Macaca mulatta: one gene and its partner. The protein of the gene in region 2 purifies or fractionates together with the protein of the main gene of each other region. This does not show direct contact. Links are inferred from orthologs where the notes say so. Each region holds a gene or a part of one and is shown on either strand. Other genes may lie near its edges.

What was found.
Region 1: the proteins of PPP4C (region 2) and CCT6A purify together in Homo sapiens (affinity purification with mass spectrometry; 5 studies listed by BioGRID and IntAct, with this or other methods). This does not show direct contact. The link is inferred for Macaca mulatta from reciprocal best matches to the Homo sapiens genes PPP4C and CCT6A.

Annotation. Positions count from the first base shown.
Region 1 is NC_133408.1:72,124,096-72,128,483, reverse strand, and holds part of CCT6A (T-complex protein 1 subunit zeta), read right to left. Parts: intron 4,287-4,388; coding exon 4,152-4,286; intron 3,284-4,151; exon of another isoform or gene 3,150-3,283; intron 3,032-3,149; coding exon 2,858-3,031; intron 2,358-2,857; coding exon 2,254-2,357; intron 667-2,253; coding exon 556-666; intron 295-555; coding exon 135-294; intron 37-134; coding exon 1-36. UniProt on the Homo sapiens protein: Component of the chaperonin-containing T-complex (TRiC), a molecular chaperone complex that assists the folding of actin, tubulin and other proteins upon ATP hydrolysis.
Region 2 is NC_133425.1:28,484,811-28,489,671, reverse strand, and holds the start of PPP4C (serine/threonine-protein phosphatase 4 catalytic subunit), read left to right. Parts: upstream 1-1,433; 5' UTR 1,434-1,472; intron 1,473-1,694; 5' UTR 1,695-1,757; coding exon 1,758-1,855; intron 1,856-4,861. UniProt on the Homo sapiens protein: Protein phosphatase that is involved in many processes such as microtubule organization at centrosomes, maturation of spliceosomal snRNPs, apoptosis, DNA repair, tumor necrosis factor (TNF)-alpha signaling, activation of c-Jun N-terminal kinase MAPK8, regulation of histone acetylation, DNA damage checkpoint signaling, NF-kappa-B activation and cell migration.

The DNA of each region.
Region 1 (4,388 bases), on a different chromosome or scaffold from region 2:
TTTTGAAAGAGCATCTAAGGAAAAGGGGTCAATTCCCTATAACAAAAATAAAAATTAATTTCAACATCTTTCACCTTAAAAGCAAAAAGGATGATACATACTATTTAGTTTATACATTGGGTTTTCATTCTCACCTTTTGATTAATAACAACAAATCCTTTATCTGAATCACCACAGACTTTCCTTTTCAGTTCCATTATTTTTTTAACTTTATCTTCAATGAATTTTCTTTCAGCTTTTACGAGTTTTTCTCTCTCTTCTGCACTTTTGTAAAAAAAGCCAGAACTCACTTCTCTATTAAGAAAAAAAAAAAGGTTACAGAAAACAGGGAAACATTCTAAGAAAGTAGCTTCTGAAACTGGTTTAGTCCTAAGATTTAACAGTTCACTAAGCTCGAATCCTGTCCCTTATACATTTTCAGAGACTGTTTCCTGTAACTCCCCCAAACCAATTTGAGCATTATTGTCCTTACAGTGGGAAACAAAGTTTCACAAAAAATAACTCCCCTAAAATACGAAGTTCCTCGATTTCACTGTTAAGGGGCTATAAACTTACGTTTTTTCATACTCTAATGATACGTTACAAGTGAGGACATATGCATCCTCCACCCTTTTCTTCATATCAGGATGCCGTGCTCCATGGTCCAAAACAAGCCCTCTGATTAAGCTGTTCAAAACACACAAAATTACGGTTATTGATTTTCACATGGGTATATAATATGTTAAACACTCAGCTAAGAAGGTATTGATATTTCATGCAGTCACATTTCTTTTTTTTTTTTTTTTTGAGACAGAGTCTCGCTCTGTCGCCCAGGCTGGAGGGTAGTGGTGTCGTCTTGGCTCACTGCAAGCTCCACCTCCTGGGTTCACACTATTCTCCTGCCTCAGCCTCCTGAGTAGCTGGGACTACAGGTGCCCACCACCATGCCCAGCTAATATTTTTTGTATTTTCAGTAGAGACGGGGTTTCAATCTCCTAGCCAGGATGGTTTCAATCTCCTGACCTCATGATCCGCCTGCCTCGGCCTCCTAAAGTGCTGGGATTACAAGCATGAGCCACCGTGTCCAGCTTATTTCTTGAATTACTTGAAGATCCCGTGCTGTACAGAAAAGTCTGCAGAGATAGTCTCACTAGTAGGCTGTCAAACTGTGATGACGTCCTTTAAAAACATGTTTTCTGCCAAGCGCCTGTAATCCCAGCACTTAGGGAGGCAGAAGTGAGAGGATGCCTTAATCCCAGGAATTTAAAACCAGCCCGGGCAACATAGGGAGACTCCATTCTCCACACACACACACAAAAAAGAAAAACACAAACATTTTCTAAGTCTTTGAAAAAAATTTTTTAAATTTCTCTACTACTTCTCATTATGCTTCGTACCTAGCACATCAATAAATGCCAAATGACTGATGTCATTCACTTTTCAGAATCACTCTAACCATAAATATAACATTACATTCACCTTATTTCAGGAGAAAATATTACTAAAAGTAAAAACAATATTCATCTAGCAATTTATCCAGCTTACATCTTCAGGTAAATATACAACATTTTATACCCAAAGATATTTTAAAAATTGCCAACGATTTCACGCCTGTAATCCCAGCACTCTGGGAGGCCGAGGCAGGCGAATCACGAGGTCAGGAGATTAAGACCGTCCTGGCTAACATGGTGAAACCCCTTCTCTACTAAAAATACAAAAAGAATTAGCCAGGCGTGATGGCGGACACCTGTAGTCCCAGCTACTCAGGAAGCTGGAGCAGAATGACGTGAACCCGGAAGGCAGAGCTTGCAGTTGAGCAGAGATTGTGCCACTGCACTCCAGCCTGGGCCACAAGAGTGAGACTCGGTCTTAGGAAAAAAAAAAAAAAAAGCCAACCATATATTGTACAAAGCACCCCTAAATTTCTAAACACAGTTTATTTTTTGTTTTTTTGGGACGGAGTTTCACTGTTGTCACTCAGGCTGGAGTGCAATGGTGTGATCTCAGCTCACTGCAACCTCCACCTCCCAGATTCAAGCGATTCTGCTGCATCAGCCTCCCGAGTAGCTGGGATTACAGGCGCGTGCCACCACGCCCGGTACACCCAGCTAATTTTTGTAATTTTAATAGAAACGGGGTTTCTCCATGTTGGCCAGGTTGGTCTGAACTCCTGACCTCAGGTGATTTGCCCGCCACGGCCTCCCAAAGTGCTGGGATTACAGGAGTAAGCCCCCATGCCTGATCATTAGTATTTCACAGTATTCTACCACCTACCTTGTATCAGTTTCAGATTTATGTTTCATCTCCATGATCTCAATCATGAAGAGATCAATAGGTTCATCTTGTTTTTTAATGGCCAAAATGGAGTCCACTACAGCCTGCAATTGGAGGAGCATAACCATTAAGTAAATTCAATTTGCAGCAGCAGAAACATCTTGCTTTTCCGAAGGTTTCATTTTACAATTATACACTGATTTAAGTCTTTTTCTATGAGCAAACAGAATATATGTAAACAGCAACAACTGAAGCCATTTACATTTCTGAAATCTCAATCTGTAATTCCCAAACATTAACATTAATTAACATTAACAATTCTCCTGTTTCATTAAAAATACTGGTAACTTGGAAGCTTTCTAGTAACAAAATCTCCACTTTACAAACCTTTTAATGAAAGCCTCAATTTTACTTTTATAACCCAGTTACATATACTATTATTTGAATTTCCTCATTTTAGAGACACAAATTAGGTATTATTGCCCCAAAAATGAACCTATACAGCACCTTGTAATTGAAATTGGGAATTATATTCATGTTTCTACTATCAGAGATTTTCTATATAGGTGTATTATACCAGACACAGACAACATTTAATATATACCTCTGTTAAGACATCTGCAAGTTCAGCATGAACTTTAGTACGAAGAGATGTTCTGGCCACATCTATAAGTGTTTCCCTGTCCATCTCTCTGCTTACTTTGACTTCTTCCAAAAACTGAAGGGCCTTTTCCTTTGCAGCTTCAAATCCTTCAGTGATTATTCTGGGATGAAGGCCCTACAATAAACACACATTAACACTTGCATCAAGTAGGTACAACCACAGTTCCTGACAAAGTTCAGTTAATTCCTGAAGGGGTATTCTGGATCATCATACCTTTGAACACGAGGTAATATAATGTGCTGGCTTTCAGAATACATTTAAAAGGATAAATATTCCTTTCAATGCAGAGGAGAAGAACAGGTAATGCTCTAGCACAGGGTCAAAGCCAAGGAAACTATAAAGCACACTTGGGTATTCACTGTGCAAACCACTCTGAATCATTTCAAAATTGACACTGTGTCCCAACCAAGGACTCGCAGATGGTAACATTATTCTATCTTTTCTTTCTTTCTTTTTTTTTTGGAGACGGCGTTTCGCACTTGTTGCCCAGGCTGGAGGCAATGGCACGATCCCGACTCACCACATCCTCCGCCTCCTGGGTTCAAGCGATTGTCCTACTTCAGCCTCCCAAGTAGCTGGGATTACAGGCATGCGCCACCATGCCCGGCTAATTTTTGTATTTTTAGCAGAGATGGGGTTTCTCCATGTTGGTCAGACTGGTCTCGAACTTTCGACCTCAGGTGATCCGCTCACCTCGGCCTCTCAAAGTGCTGGGATTACGGGTGTGAGCGACCACGCTTGGACTATTCTCTTTTCTATAGGTAATCTCAAACTAATTCACATCATTTACTAATTATTTAATAAAGACTGCTCTCTTTTTCCAGGAAATTCTGACAACAGATTCATACTCACTGAGGTTTGTTTTAACCTTGGAACTAGTCAGGGCTTAAAAAAGTGGAATTTATCCAAATATAAGCTTTTGGATGCTTTTTTCCTAACAAATATTCCTAGTCCTAAACATTCCACTTTTAGATCTAAATTATTAATCTACACTAAGGACAGATACAAATCACATAGGCAATGCAACTTCATTACAAAATTATTTTCAGGCCAAGAAAGGTTCCATAACCTGTCCAAGGTCACAATTTGTTTTAGACCAGGACAAAGACCCAGATTTAAGCCCCCTAGTTCTACTGTATGGCCTCAGCTATTAACAGCACATCAATTTGTATAAATAAGTATCAGACACTTCCTATATACAATAAAATATTACAGAAACAAGAGTTGTGCATACTTCAGAAATGTAGAGATCCGCCTGTTTCAGTAGTTCTCCAATGATTAGGACATTGGAAGTCGTACCATCACCAGTTATATCATCCTGGGCTGTTGCTACCTTTGCTATTAAGGAAGCTGTTGGATGTTGAATTTGCTGAAAGTAGAAAAAGAATGAATCACTTAAAACAACATGAAGCAGTCTAAATATAACACAAACAAAATGTAGGAAGGGCCTCTTTAAGTGCTATCTACTTGA
Region 2 (4,861 bases):
GAAGTCATGCTGACTGAGGCACAGGCTTGGCGTGGGAAAAGTGGATTCCAATATGGTAACTTCTGAAGTTGTCCATGGCAAATATTTCTCTGACGGCAAAGGAAGAGATCCGAACCGGGATTCCCTCATCCATTGAAAAAGTATTAACAAGTATTTATGTATGCCTACGGTGCCAGGCCTTATTCTAACCACTGGGGCTGCAATACTTAAAAAGACAAAGTTGGATCCTCCAAGGATTGTGGTGGGGAAGGCTAACAAAATAACAAAAATATGTAACATTTTTTAAAAAGTGCAATAAAGTTACAAAGCCTAGCCCCAGCTCTGCTTGTTTCCCTAGCTGAAATGGAGGATGGCCGGGTGCGGTGGCTCACACCTGTAATCCCAGCACTTTGGGAGGCCCGAGGCAGGAGGATGGTTTGAGCCCAGGGGTTCGAAGTGACAGTGAGTTATGATAGCCCCACGGACTCCAGCCTGAGCGACAGAGAGAGACCCTGTCTCTAATTTAGGAAAAAGAAAGTTGCCGGGCGCGGTGGCTCAAGCCTGTAATCCCAGCACTTTGGGAGGCCGAGACGGGTGGATCACGAGGTCAGGAGATCGAGACCATCCTGGCTAACACGGTGAAACCCCGTCTCTACTAAAAAATGCAAAAAATTAGCCGGGCGAGGTGGTGGGCGCCTGTAGTCCCAGCTACTCGGGAGGCTGAGGCCGGAGAATGGCGTGAACCCGGAAGGCGGAGCTTGCAGTGAGCTGAGATCCGGCCACTGCACTCCAGCCTGGGCGACAGAGGAGACTCTGTCTCAAAAAAAAAAAAAAAAAAAAGTAAGTTGTGGCCGGGCGCGGTGCCTAACGGCTGTAATCCCAGCACTTTGGGAGGCGAAGGGGGGGCGGGGGCGGATCACCTGAGGTACGCAGTTCGAGACCAGTCTGACCAACAAGAAGAAACCACGTCTCTGTTAAAAATACAAAATTAGCCCGGCGTGGTGGCGCATGCCTGTAACCCCAGCTACTAAGGAGGTTGAGGCAGGAGGATTGCTTGAACCCGGGAGGCGGAGGTTGCGGTGAGCCGAGATCGTGCCATTGCACTCCCGCCTGGGCAAGAGCAAAACTCCGCCTCAAAAAGAAAGAAAGAAAGCTGTTAAAACATTTGTATAAAATGAAAGGGGAGGTGACTGTTCTAGGGTTTCTAACAGCCTCCACATCGCCCAGCAACAGAGCCCACAAAACTGCCCCTGGCCGCCACCGGGATCCTCCAGCTTCTTCCCCATCTGCGGTTGGGGAAGTGGTGCAGCGGTCGCTGCGAAGGAGGGAGAGGAGCGTGTATGACGCCACATCCGGCGCGCGGCGGAACTGGCTTCCCTTTGCTTCCGCGGCGGGGCCGGAAGTAGAAGCGGCGGCGGCGGTGGCTGCGGCCCAAAGCGGAGTGAAAGAGGGAGGCAGGGAGCCGGAGAGCCGGAACCGGAGTCGCAGCGGCGGTAATATTGCCAGACTCCTCTAAGTCACCGTCCTTAGCGCGGGACCGCGGGGTTCGACGGGAGTTAGCGGGGTTGCGGCCGCGCCGTGGGACGCTGGGGGGTCCTAAGGCCGATGTGAGGGGAGGCGGGGGTGGGGGAGCCGGGCCGGCTCTAGAATCGAGTTGTCCGCCCCGCGCCCCGCACGGACACTCTGATCCGCGGGCTCGTCTTGGCCTTTCCCAGGAGACCCCTGTGCGGTGCGGAGGGGGCGGCGGCCCCGACTCTGACCCGCGCCGGGGGTGGGCCATGGCGGAGATCAGCGACCTGGACCGGCAGATCGAGCAGCTGCGTCGCTGCGAGCTCATCAAGGAGAGCGAAGTCAAGGCCCTGTGCGCTAAAGCCAGGTGAGCCCATTGGCCCTGGGGAAGGGAGGCCAAGCCGCCGCCCACGGGTTCTGTCCTGGGGCAAACCCAACTGAGAACTTTGGGCTTGCCTCGCCCTGGAAGCTTTCCCAGAGAGGAGCAGGATGGAACCGCTGCCCTCGAGGAAAATCTAGCCTGCTCGGGGAAGACAGAGCGGATAAAGACACTTAAAGTATTAGACGATGTGTTTCCAGTAGAGTAAGAATGTTACGTAAAGTACTTAGGAAACTCAAGAAAACAAGTCCATCTGTCGGGGGTCGGAAGCTTGTTGGAGGGGGGCCGAACTGTGGGACAGTCCTCGAATAAGGAGGTGGTAAAAGAGCCAAAAATCAAAGATTTAAGACAGGAAAGTTAAAGACCCTGTGATTTATAAAAGTCCTTTAATTACAACAACCCTTAAAGGTTGGTGGTATTGTACTCATTTTACAGGTGAGAACTTTCATGTTAAAAGTTACCCACAAGTAGGGAATGAGGATCGGAAGCCAGCTCTTAGTGTCCCGTCCTTTTTCAGGCCATAATGCAAAAAGGTGTGGAGTTGGATTACTCACGTTCAGGGTGGGAGCCTGAGAAATCGTAGCAAGTAAGCTAGGGTAAAATTAAGCATGATAGGGAGGGAGGCCAGTTCAGAGTTCTGTGGGAAGTAGGATGAAGCAGTGGTTAAGGCTCTGGGTTTTGCAGTGTGAGATGGCTCTAGGTTTGAATCTGAACTCTGCCACTTTCTAGCTGTGTTAGTGATCTTAAGGTGTCTTTATTTGTAAAGCGGAGTTAATAGTACTTAATAAGATGGTTGTGAAGGTTCAGTGAGTTGGTGCTTGAGATGAGGTTAGCACAGTGTCTTGGTACAGCATACGTGCTTGATAATCACCAGGTATTCTATTTCTCTTGGAAGAGGGCAATAATGAGATGGGTTAAAGCCATCAGGGAAGGCTTTTGAGTGGAGGTAGGCCTTGAAGGATGAAGATAATTTGGCTAGCTGATGGAGGCAGGGCCAGTGAGGGAAGGGCATTCCAAGCAGAACGAATGTAACAGTGGAGGCCCTGAGATGTATGGGGAACAGTCAGGGGTTTAATTATTACCTGCCTCCTCTGGGGCACTGTGTGATTGTGGCTTCTACCAGGCTGGAGAATTGTGGCAGAAGAACCCGCAGAATTACCCTATGTTTATTGAACAATAAACATTGGCCTTTATAGGGCCACTGTTGGCCTGGCCCTGTACTGGTAAAAAAACTTTTGTCCATCTCTTCCCCCCAGCAATCCTGTGAGGTTGGAATCATTTGTTCCATTTTATCACACAGGAAGCCATGACTTGTAGAGGTCTGGTGACTTGACTGAGGTCACCCACTGAGGACGTGGCAGAGCTGGGTCCTGAATCTGTGGCCCTCAGGCTCTTTGCTTGGCCCTGCCTCACATAGACTCCCTGCAGCCAGACAGGGCCTGTGAGGGGATGTTGAGCAGGGTCGGCCTCTTTTTCACCACCTGTCTGTGGCTTTTCTCTTTTGCCAGCTCAAGAAAATGTCCCTGACCAGACTAGCCCCACGGTGTTTTTAGTTTTTCCCTCTCCCTCAGTCCTGATTGGCATTTTTAGGAACTTATACCTGTTATTGCGTGGCTCTGTTCTTTAACCCTGAAGTCTTATCTCCGTCACAGGCCCTGAATCAGCGTGGTGGTGATGGTAGGCAAAGCTTGGATAGCATGCTGGAGTTTGCAGACTAGCAGGAAGTTATGTATTCAGTCTCCATGGCTCCTTGCAACAGCCTAAGGAATAGGCAGGGCGGGCTGAGTATTTAGCCCCATTTCATAGCAGAGGAAACTGAGCCTCTGAGTAGATAATGTCTTGTCCAACTCACGCAGCTAGTCGGAGGGGAAGTTAGTTTTGCATCCAGGTCTTTGACTGTGCTCCGTGGTCACTGAGAACCAGGCAGAGGCATTTAGGTTTTGATGTGTGGTGTGAGGCAGCAGGGAGCCATGGAAGACTGAGGGGTGGAGGGTCCTGCCCAGTTGAAACTGAGTGAAACTAGGAGGTACTAGGCCAAGGCTCAGTCTGAAGCAGGGCCAGCTCTGATACCTGGTTATGGCCTCCTGGGGACCCAACAGAGACCCAGGCTGAGGCTGGTAGTGTCAAGAGCACCAGCTTGCCCAGAGGGCACAGAGATGCAGGTGAAACCCGTGGAAACACAGAGGTCCGCAGTGTCTGAGCTGAAATTGCTGCTCCTAGAAATACTAGCACAGAAGAGCTGAGCTTTTGAATCAGGTGGTCTTCAGTATGAATCTTTGCCTTGTCACCTAGAAACAATATGACCCTTGTCAAGTCACTTTCTGATTTTTTGAAATGATAATGACATGCAGTTGAGAGTCCGGGTATCTGGGCACAGGGCCTGCTGCGCTGGTAGCTGTTACTGCAGGCAGGTCATGATAGGGCTGGTGAAGTACTGCAAGTGACAGAACTGGGGCTGGAATCTGGGCCTGATTCCCAGACCATAATGGGGTCGTGCCGGCACTGAGGGGTGCTTTTCCGAGAGCACGGGCCCTGCATGTGACCTCCCTGGGTTTCAGGTTTTCACTCAGGGTCTGTGGAAGGGGCTGGCATAAATTCTTAGGAAATTGGGCTTCTGGGTTCCAATTTAGCCACTCTCCAGCTTGGTAACCTTGACCCTGCCGCTTCAGTTTCTTTTTTTCTTTTTTTTTTTTTTTTTTTTTTTTTTTTTGAGACGGAGTTTCGCTCTTGTCGCCCAGGCTAGAGTGCGATGGTGCGATCTTGGCTCACTGCAACCTCCGCCTCCCAGGTTCAAGTGATTCTCCTACATCAGCCTCCTGAGTAGCTGGGTTTACAGGCACACACCACCATGCCCAGCTAATTTTTGTATTTTTAGTAGAGACGGGGTTTCACCATGTTGGCCAGGACGGTCTCAATCTCTTGACCTCATGATCCACCCACCTTGGCTTCCCAAAGTGCTGGGATTACAGGCGTGAGCCACCGTGCCCAACCTAG